Linked DNA regions of Cricetulus griseus. The protein of the gene in region 1 purifies or fractionates together with the protein of each later gene. This does not show direct contact. Links are inferred from orthologs where the notes say so. Each region holds a gene or a part of one and is shown in the gene's direction. Other genes may lie near its edges.

What was found.
Region 2: the proteins of Med13 (region 1) and Cdk19 purify together in Homo sapiens (affinity purification with mass spectrometry; 6 studies listed by BioGRID and IntAct, counting the BioPlex papers as one, with this or other methods). This does not show direct contact. The link is inferred for Cricetulus griseus from reciprocal best matches to the Homo sapiens genes MED13 and CDK19.

The regions. Positions count from the first base shown.
Region 1 is NC_048600.1:99,606,417-99,610,862, reverse strand, and holds the start of Med13 (mediator of RNA polymerase II transcription subunit 13), read left to right. Parts: upstream 1-1,454; 5' UTR 1,455-1,578; coding exon 1,579-1,644; intron 1,645-3,503; coding exon 3,504-3,738; intron 3,739-4,446. UniProt on the Homo sapiens protein: Component of the Mediator complex, a coactivator involved in the regulated transcription of nearly all RNA polymerase II-dependent genes.
Region 2 is NC_048595.1:262,900,984-262,905,375, forward strand, and holds the start of Cdk19 (cyclin-dependent kinase 19), read left to right. Parts: upstream 1-1,363; 5' UTR 1,364-1,616; coding exon 1,617-1,744; intron 1,745-4,392.

The DNA.
Region 1 (4,446 bases):
ATTAACATCATATGTGGTTCTTCTTCCCATTCATTTGTAAGTTTTCAAATATCAAGTGCCTACTGTGTGCTAGGAACCTTTTAAGGCAATGGACAGCTAGAAAGAAAGTACCAATTATCATGATTCTTACTCTTAGAGTTCATTTGCTCCTCAAAATAACCATATAAAGTAATGATGGCAATATAAAAGTGTATGGCTTTACCGCACTCATCTGCGCCAGGCACTGAATTAGAACTCTGGTTGCATTAATGCATCATATCGCCAATATGAGGCTTGTTTCTCTCATTTTACAGATCAGGAAACTGAGTCTCAAAGAGGCTCCAGCTTCAAATCCTGTACAGCATGACTTTATCCCCAGTTTACTAGCCACAAGGCTATATTGTTTCACTTTTACCTCGTTATTATAACTCTTATAAAGGGCGGCTGAGGCTGATCTCCATCCAGCTCTGATTCTCAAGTCCAAGAGTTTTGAGCTGTACCCTGGAGGCCTTATGGAATAAATGAGAATGCATTGGAATTTTTTGTTGTTGTTGTTGTTGCCAACTTTCTCTTCCAAAGAATTCGAACTGATTTCCAAGTAATTCTCGTTGGTTTTGAAGTGAACCTTCCTGTACTGCACATTCTCCAGCCAGGAGAAAGCTAGGGCCAAGGCCCGGGTCATCTTAACCGGGGCATCCAGCAGATGGCGCCATCTTAGTAGCCACCAGCTGGCTGCCCGGTCCCCGGGGCTCCGAAAGCTTCTCTGCTCTCCCTCACTGCCTTCTCTCTCCCCCTCCCCACGGAGCCCGGGCCCACGTGACCTCACGGCGGCCAATGGGCGAGCAGAGAGGGCGAGCTGGTCCCTGTGGCCGCCATTAAAGCGAAGGGAAAACCCGTGAATTCGGATTAAAGGGGGAAAAACACCGCCCGCTGGGCCCACAAAATGGGGGAGACTACGGCGTACAGGCGGTGAGGCGGCAGGAGAGCAGACGTTAGGCAGGCTTGGCCCAGGGACAACACGAGGACGCAGCCGGAGAATGGACTGAGCCCTCAGACGCCGCCACCACCTCCGCCGCCGAGGAGACTCTGGGCTTAAGGACATCGCTCCTGCCGGGCCGGGGGCCCGGGCTGCTCCGCCGGTCCTCGCCCTTCCCGCCCCTCCGCGGGCGCCCCCGGGCCGGGGAGAACCCTCCCGGGCTTCAGGGCTCGGCCCGCTCGGACTCGGGCTCTTGACTATTTATCGTGTAACTGATAATTTTTTTTTGTTTTTTGTTTTTTTGCTTTTTAACCTTTTTTTTTTTTTTCCCGGTGGAAGGGGCACACATCCCTTCCCCTCCTCTCCGGAGAGGGACGCGCGTCCGCGAGCTCCGCAGTCCGGCGGCCGGCCGGCCGAGCGCGGCGCGGCGCGGCCCCGCCTGCGGCCTCGGCCCGGCGGCTGGGTGCCCGGGGCCGGGGGGCGGCGGGGAGGGCGGGCGGCCCGGCGGCCTCCTCCCCACCGCCCCCCGCCCTCCCCGGTGTCTGTGTTTCTCTCTCTGGTCGGAGGCGGCGGTAATGGCGGATGGTGGGTTGTGGCGCCGGCGGCGGCTGCTGTGAGGGACGATGAGTTCCTCCTTCGTGTCGAACGGGGCCAGCCTGGAAGATTGTCACTGTAACCTCTTCTGCCTGGTGAGTGCGGGGGCTGCGGGCGGTGGGGGAGGGGGCCGCGCCGGGCGCCCTTGGGCCGTGGGGGAGGGGGTACGGGTCTCATCCAGATGCCGGTGTCCCCCGGCTAGGCCCCGCCGGAGTCGGCCTCCTGCGAGGCTCTGCGGCCGCCCCGGGAGACAGCGTCCGCTCACCTACCTACCGGCCAGGACTCTGCTTGGAAGAGTCTTGTCTTTCCCCTTCTCCTGTCTTGTTTTGGACGCTTTTTTCCCTCCATCGTAGTCTTGTCCTTAACTTGGGTTTCTTATCTGGCCGGACAGTAATATTTTCTTGAGTGCTTCTTACTTACCACCCCACCCCCCCCACCCCGTATCGAACAGTGTATCTATCCCTTTTTCACACTTTTCCATGATTGTCCCTCCTTCACTCCCTTTATGCTTTTCCCTGCTAATTGGACTTCCCTTAAACAGGACCCCCCCAAAAAACTTACGTATTAAAGCCCCTCTCTTCGTTTTATAAGTTAAGCTAACACAGCGGTAGTTTCTTATGGGTGACTTCAGATCTTTGCGTACAAACGGCGTTCATATGTTTTCTTTTTAAACTTTGAAAACATTTTGCCATTTTGACAATTTCTAGCCATCTTGCTTTTATTAGAACATTATGTTTTTGTGAGAGTGGAGGGGCTAATGGAGGAGGTACTGTGGTTTCGCACTAAACGTTCTATGTTTGTCTGTTTTGCTTACGTTTAAAGAATGTTTTGCGCTGGCTGCTCCTTTTATTGAACTGAAAAGTCTGGGGACGCTGGATGTAGGAATGTTGTACTGTGTAGGTTGGCCCCAGTCGGGTAATAGCCAATAGTTTTTAAGACTTCTCTCAAAAGTACCAACTGTTGCAAATATCTAGTCCTTAATTAGGCGATAGCTGAGTTTCGTCAATGACTTTATGTTGGAGTGACTTTTTCATTTTTTTTTCCTGTGCGATGAGAAATATTAAGTCTATCATAGTTAAGTGAATTAAGTGGGTGGAGCATAACTAGTTGGCAAGCGTAAACTGCCAGTCATGTATCAGCAGTTTCATTTTTGGCACCTTATGCTTTCTGTCGCTAAGTTAGAATAAAGACTTGCTGAATTTCCTTTGTTGAATTTCCTTCGCAATGGTAAATGGGGATCTTTAACGAACTTCTACGTGGTGGAATATTTCTTGACAGTGTCCAGTAATCAGCATCTTCACATGTAGTAAGATGTACAGCATACAGCAGGTTTAACATTTCTGTCTTTCCCAACTGGATCTATTTTTGGCACTTTGGTTCTTTGAAGATAGATTAGCACAAATCTGACAGCTCTTTGGAAGTAGTTCTTTTCCTAAAGATGTGTGCTTGTGAAGAATTAACAGGCTTTTTTTTTTTTTCCGTTTAGAAAATTGTTCAGATGTCTTGTTAGAGCCTTGACTTCTTACAAACTTGAATGAGGGTCTTTAATTTTCAGTTCACCAAGGAACAAATGTGACTGACCAGTTAGAAAAGAATGTAGGGCAGAGGAAAGATAGACATACTGTGCAGTACTGGAATGCATGTTTAACATCATTGTCTCATTTATTAAATTCTGGATATGTTGTTGTATTTATTATAGATGTGCTATTCAGTGATATTGTTATTACTGTTTTTTAAAACTGTTGTGTGTTCTTTTCCTTAAGTTCTTGCTGGTTGAAGTATTAGAATTATTTGCATGATGTTTGTTATTTTGGTCATAGTCTTTAAATGTCTTAGGCATGCATTGAAAATAGTGATGTTTTAATGAAATCAGGTACTTTATAATGATTTTTTTTTTTTTTTTTTACTTAAGTGAATGTACAATAATATAGAAATCATGTTTTCTTTTCTTCAGGCCGACCTGACAGGAATTAAGTGGAAAAGATACGTATGGCAAGGCCCAACTTCTGCCCCTATTCTGTTTCCGGTGACAGAAGAAGACCCCATTTTGAGCAGTTTTAGTCGATGCCTTAAGGCAGATGTTCTTGGTGTTTGGCGTCGAGATCAAAGACCTGGAAGAAGAGAATTGTGGATATTTTGGTGGGGTAAAGATCCCAATTTTGCTGACCTTATTCACCATGACTTATCAGGTGAAAGCAATTTATTATTTTTTAAATCTGACTTAGCAACATTGTACATTTTCCCCAAAATGTTATTGGTATTACAAATTATGGTGTTAGTGTGTATACAGTTTACACAGCCTTATTAGTGTGAAGCAGTAAGAATGGTTTCAGTGTTTTATTTCACCATGATTGTTTTACTTTACGTAAAGTATCCATGTATATTATGGAAGATTTAAACTTTGAATAACTTTCTTCTTCCACCACCCAGCTTCCTTCCTTAATTTCTCACAGTCACTTTGTACCCAGGGAAGGCATTTTCATTGACCTAAGAAAAATGGAATCTGGAAGCATTCTCATAGTTATGTAATACTTTTGAAGCCAAGTGTAACTTACCTTTGAGTCTGTTCTGCTCTGATCTCTTTTGTGTGACACTGTGGGCGGTTCTAGAAATGTAACTTTATCTGGCATGTTTTTCAAAAGTATATTATTTTTATGATTATTTATTAACCCAGGGAAGCATATGCTATTTTTTTTTTCTTTTGGGGGGGCGGAAGCGGCTCTTAAATACTACTTCATCAAAGATTATATTGAGAGACAAGAGACAAGTACCACCTTATTTAACTTTTATAGGACAAAGGTCATTAATCTTCAAGGTTGCACAGAAATAGTTTATTATGAACTCGTCAATATTACTTACTCTCTTGACTTTGAGGGTCAGCTGTACTTTAGAAAGAA
Region 2 (4,392 bases), on another chromosome or scaffold:
AAATGTAACTCAAAGGACAGATGATTGAAGCTCATGGCATACAGAAAGGAACAAGAATTTGAAGTTTTAGTAGGTAGTGGAGACAAATTAATTAAGGTAAGGTGAGAGAAAAGAATAAAGATAGCCTCCCCAACAATAATGTTGTCTACGAATAGCTAAGCTGCCTTACTGATAAAGATACCCTATAAAATTTCTCTTACAAATTTAACATTCTCTTTACAAAAAATGTTCCCTTATATTTTATTTTGGGTAGTGGAAGGGAGCTGAAACTCGTGTGTTGGATGGATCTCCATTTCTTTTAGTTTAAAAATAATCAACACGCAGAGGGACACATTTTTAGCGTGGCACTTTCTAGGCTCTTACATATTTTGAGCCGACGTGTCCTGAGCCCCAGACATCAAAACGAATCAAAGTCATGATTAAGATAAATTTCTTAAAACCCCTAGGTGAGTCTCACTATTATGCATATACTGTAAAAACGCTTTACAACCCAGCAAAAATGATTGTTTTTAAAACGCTGCATTTTCCAATCTTCCAGGCACTTTAATTGTTCTCAGACAGATGGTTAAAGCTCGGCTACCGCACCCCGCATATGCTAGGATAAAACCCGACTGGAGCGCCAAGAAAAAGATAATTGGCTGTGGGCCCGAGAAGTTACACGGTTCCCCTAGCAAGAGCTGGGAAACCGCTGAATGTTCAGGTTTTGAAATACGGTTTTTGCATCGTAAAGAAAAAAGACTAACCTATCAGGAAGAACCGAGCACATCCAATTACCAATCAAGAGCGGGAAAGAAGCCAAAGCCGGAGATACCCATGCACCCACGAGGACGTCATTCTTCAGCCTCTGCCAATAAGCCGCGGCCAGGGGCGGGGCAACGGGAGGATCAATTGCCCAAGAAAACAAACAATGTGTAGTACAACTGTCGAAACCCCGGTCCTCGGCTCCGGATGCCCCGGAATGAGCTCCGGCACTAGGCGCTCGTGAGGTGCTTCCAGCTCCCTTCGCCCAGGGACAGCCAGAGCCGGTTATCTCCTTTCCAGCAGAGCAAAGGCTTCCCTCCCACAAGCTCCCACGGGCTTGCAGAAAGCTCGCTGCAACTTCGCGCTATAGTTTACGGGAACAGCGAGTCGCGGGCTACCTGAGGGGGTGGGGCGGAGACTGTGCGCAGGCGTTTTTGCCTTGTGGAGGCGTGGCCGAAATGGCCCAAGGAACCCTGGGAACTGTATTCCTTACCTCCGAGGAACTAGCACGGTTCCCGAGGCCTGTTAAACCACATTTCCCAGGATCCCCCGCCACCTCGGGGCGGGCCGCTTGGCTTGTTAATGAGTTCGAGAAAGCCGCGGCGCGGCCCACCAGGTTCCAAAACAAGGAAATGAAGGGGGGAGGCGGGACTGTGGGTGCCTGCGGGAGCCTCCGCCGCCGCCGCGGAGGAGGAGGAGGCGGAGGAGGTGGCTGCCTCGGCCGCCGAGGAGTCCCTTGCTGAAGGCGGACTGCGGAGCGGCGGGCGGCGCGCGCGCGCCCGAGCGGCGGCTGTTGGAGAAGTGGAGCGGCGGCGGCGGAGGGACTGAGTGGCGGCGGCCCCCGCGTCCCGGTTTCTCTATGGGGGAAGCAGACAATGGATTATGATTTCAAGGCGAAGCTGGCGGCGGAGCGGGAGCGGGTGGAGGATCTGTTTGAGTACGAAGGGTGCAAAGTGGGACGCGGCACCTATGGGCACGTCTACAAGGCGAGGCGGAAAGATGGGTAAGAGCGCGGGCGGGGGAGTGGGCTCGTCCGGTCCCCGCCGCTGGGAGACCCGCAGGGCTGGGTGGGTCGGAGCCCACGGGGCGAGGTGGCGTGGGTCGCGGAGCGGCGTCCCGGGGGCGAGCCGGAGGCACTCGTGCTGCCGCCCCCCGCTGGCCGGTCGCGCCCCTCCAAGTCGCTCGGCGCAGCCCCGTCGGGGGGCGTCGGTCCCGCCGCGAGTCGCCGCTGCGTGCTTACAGCGGGCGACGACCTGGTGGAGACCGCGCCTGGAGGTGGAGTTTGGAGGTCTGGTCCCCGGGGACTCGGAGAGGTCTGGGAGGGCTTGGCTGAAGAGTTACCGCTATGGCCCTGTGCTGGTGACGGTCGTGGAAGAACTTCCCAATCGGCGCAGCGCCTTCCCGGGGCGGCGGTTTGAAAGCTCGCGGGGGCGCCGCCCGTGTGGCGGCAGCGCGCTGAGGGTCCTGGCGGGCCCCTGGGGTCTGACTCTGGATGCTGCCAACCCAGTCTGCATCCCTGATTGCTCACCTGCTCCCGATTCCACATGCTAACATTCTGAGTTTAGCACTCTGAAGGTGGACCCTGGAGAGATTAAATGTTAGTGTTCTTTGGTGCCTACCTTTTCTTCCTCTTGGCTATCTTGGGTACCGCCTACCCCCCCCCCCTTTTTTTTTTTTAAGACAGGGTCTCTGCTCTCCTGGCTGGCCTGGAACTCAGAGATCCGCCTGCCTCTGCCTCTCAGGTACTGTGATTAAGGACATGTGCTACCCCCCTTTTTTTTCTTCAGGAAGAAATATTGAGTATTATATCCTCCATTTCCCATCCTCTTGTCAAATGGCTGCGTGCTTTGGTTGTGTTTATCGAAAACCTAGACCATCAAGAACAGAAAACGGAGTGACAGACCCAGGCCTGAACCACCGGTTCTTAGGAGTTGAGGGAATTTATAGGAATCTCTTGGGGAGCATTATTTGATTGTTATATTAATAATAATGCATCGAGAATGTCTTCTTTGGGCCAGAGCAGGACGGATGGAACCCGCTTCTGGCCTAGGAATGGTGGGTTTTAAAGCCGGTTGTTTCCTTGGTCCCATCCTGGAAGGAATTCCTTTTTGCTAGGTTCTGGAACTTGGAAAGAAAGTCTCCAACCGACCCTAAGGAGTGTCAGACTATACAAAAGAGAGTTTTTAGGATCGTGTTGGAGCATTTTTGATAAGCAGATTGTCACCACACTTTAGATTTGAAGTGCTACTTAGGGTTCCTTCTTGCACTGCTGTAATTTGATTGGCTGGGTGACGGAACTCCAGCATCAAAGTAGTATGTGCTGATTTTATTGTAAGAGGAAAAACAAAACACATCGTGTGAAGTGTTTCATATACAGTGCTCTGAAAATTACAAGAACTGTCCAGGTTTCAAGGATGATGATTACTGTTGTAGGTACAACTGTAGAGGTCAAGTTACTCAGTTGAAGGAGTTGTTTCTTTTAATTACCATGTGTCCTTGAGGGCTCTCCTGGGGCTATAGGTGCTGTAATCGAGTTGTGCTTTGTTTTTGGAGTATCCACAGTACTTTTTAAATTGGTATTCCAGTGGGAGTCTTTACAGGGATGATTGGGGAAAGCAAATCCATTGCTACTATTGGACATTGTTGTTATAAAATAACCGAGGTGGATCCCCTCTCTCCCCAAGCTAACTTTGTAGTACACTTCATCTAGAATTTAAAAAAAAAAGTTTTAAATTTGAAATATTTTTATTTTGCCTGGAAACTGAGAGAAGTTAAAAATAATTCTGCTTCTGAATTGAATTGAATGGCTGGGCTTGCAACAAAACATAGTGCCTTGTTCTGTTTGTTTCCCAGTGTGTCTCTCTAATAAAGATCTTGATTCAAATACACTTTTTCCTTGAGTGAAACTGGTAAATTAGAGTAAATAAAATAAAGTCAACTTTTGTATTTTCAAAGTAGATTTTAAAAACAACAGCAACCCCCCCCCCCAAAAAAAAAAACCCCAAAAACCAAAAAAACAAAATCCATTTAGAGCCAGAGGCAGAGGCAGGCTGATCTCTCTGAGTTTGAAGTCAACTGGGTCTACAATTCCAGGACAGCTAGGGCAACACAGAGAAACCTTGTCTTGAGAAACAAAACCAAACAACAAAAACTCAAAACCAAACAGACAACCTCCCCAACCCCAAAACCAAAGAAAACCCCGCTTAGAATATGGGTTGCACGCCACATAAACTGGCCTTGATTTAATCCCAACATTTAGGAAGTGGAGCCAGGCAGACCAGAGGTTCAAGGCCATACTTGGCTATACACAAGTTCCAGCCAGTCTGGGGTATGTGAGGCCCTGTCTCAAAAAAAGTGGAACATAAAAGTTTATAGTGACAAGTCTGAGGCAATATTTTTTCTAGTTAGGAATACTTATAATAAAGGAATATTGTTAAAAATTTCTTTTCATTAAAAGGGTCAAGAAATCCTGATTCCATAGCATAGGATTATGTGTGAAAACTTGCCTAATGTGAGTTGGATTTCTAAGACTAACTAAAAACAAAAAGTTCCTTTTTTAATTCATGTTTCTAAAAGGCACTTAATTCAGGGGTTCTCAACCTTCCTAATGCTGCCACCCTTTAATACAGTTTTTCATTTTGTTGTGACCTC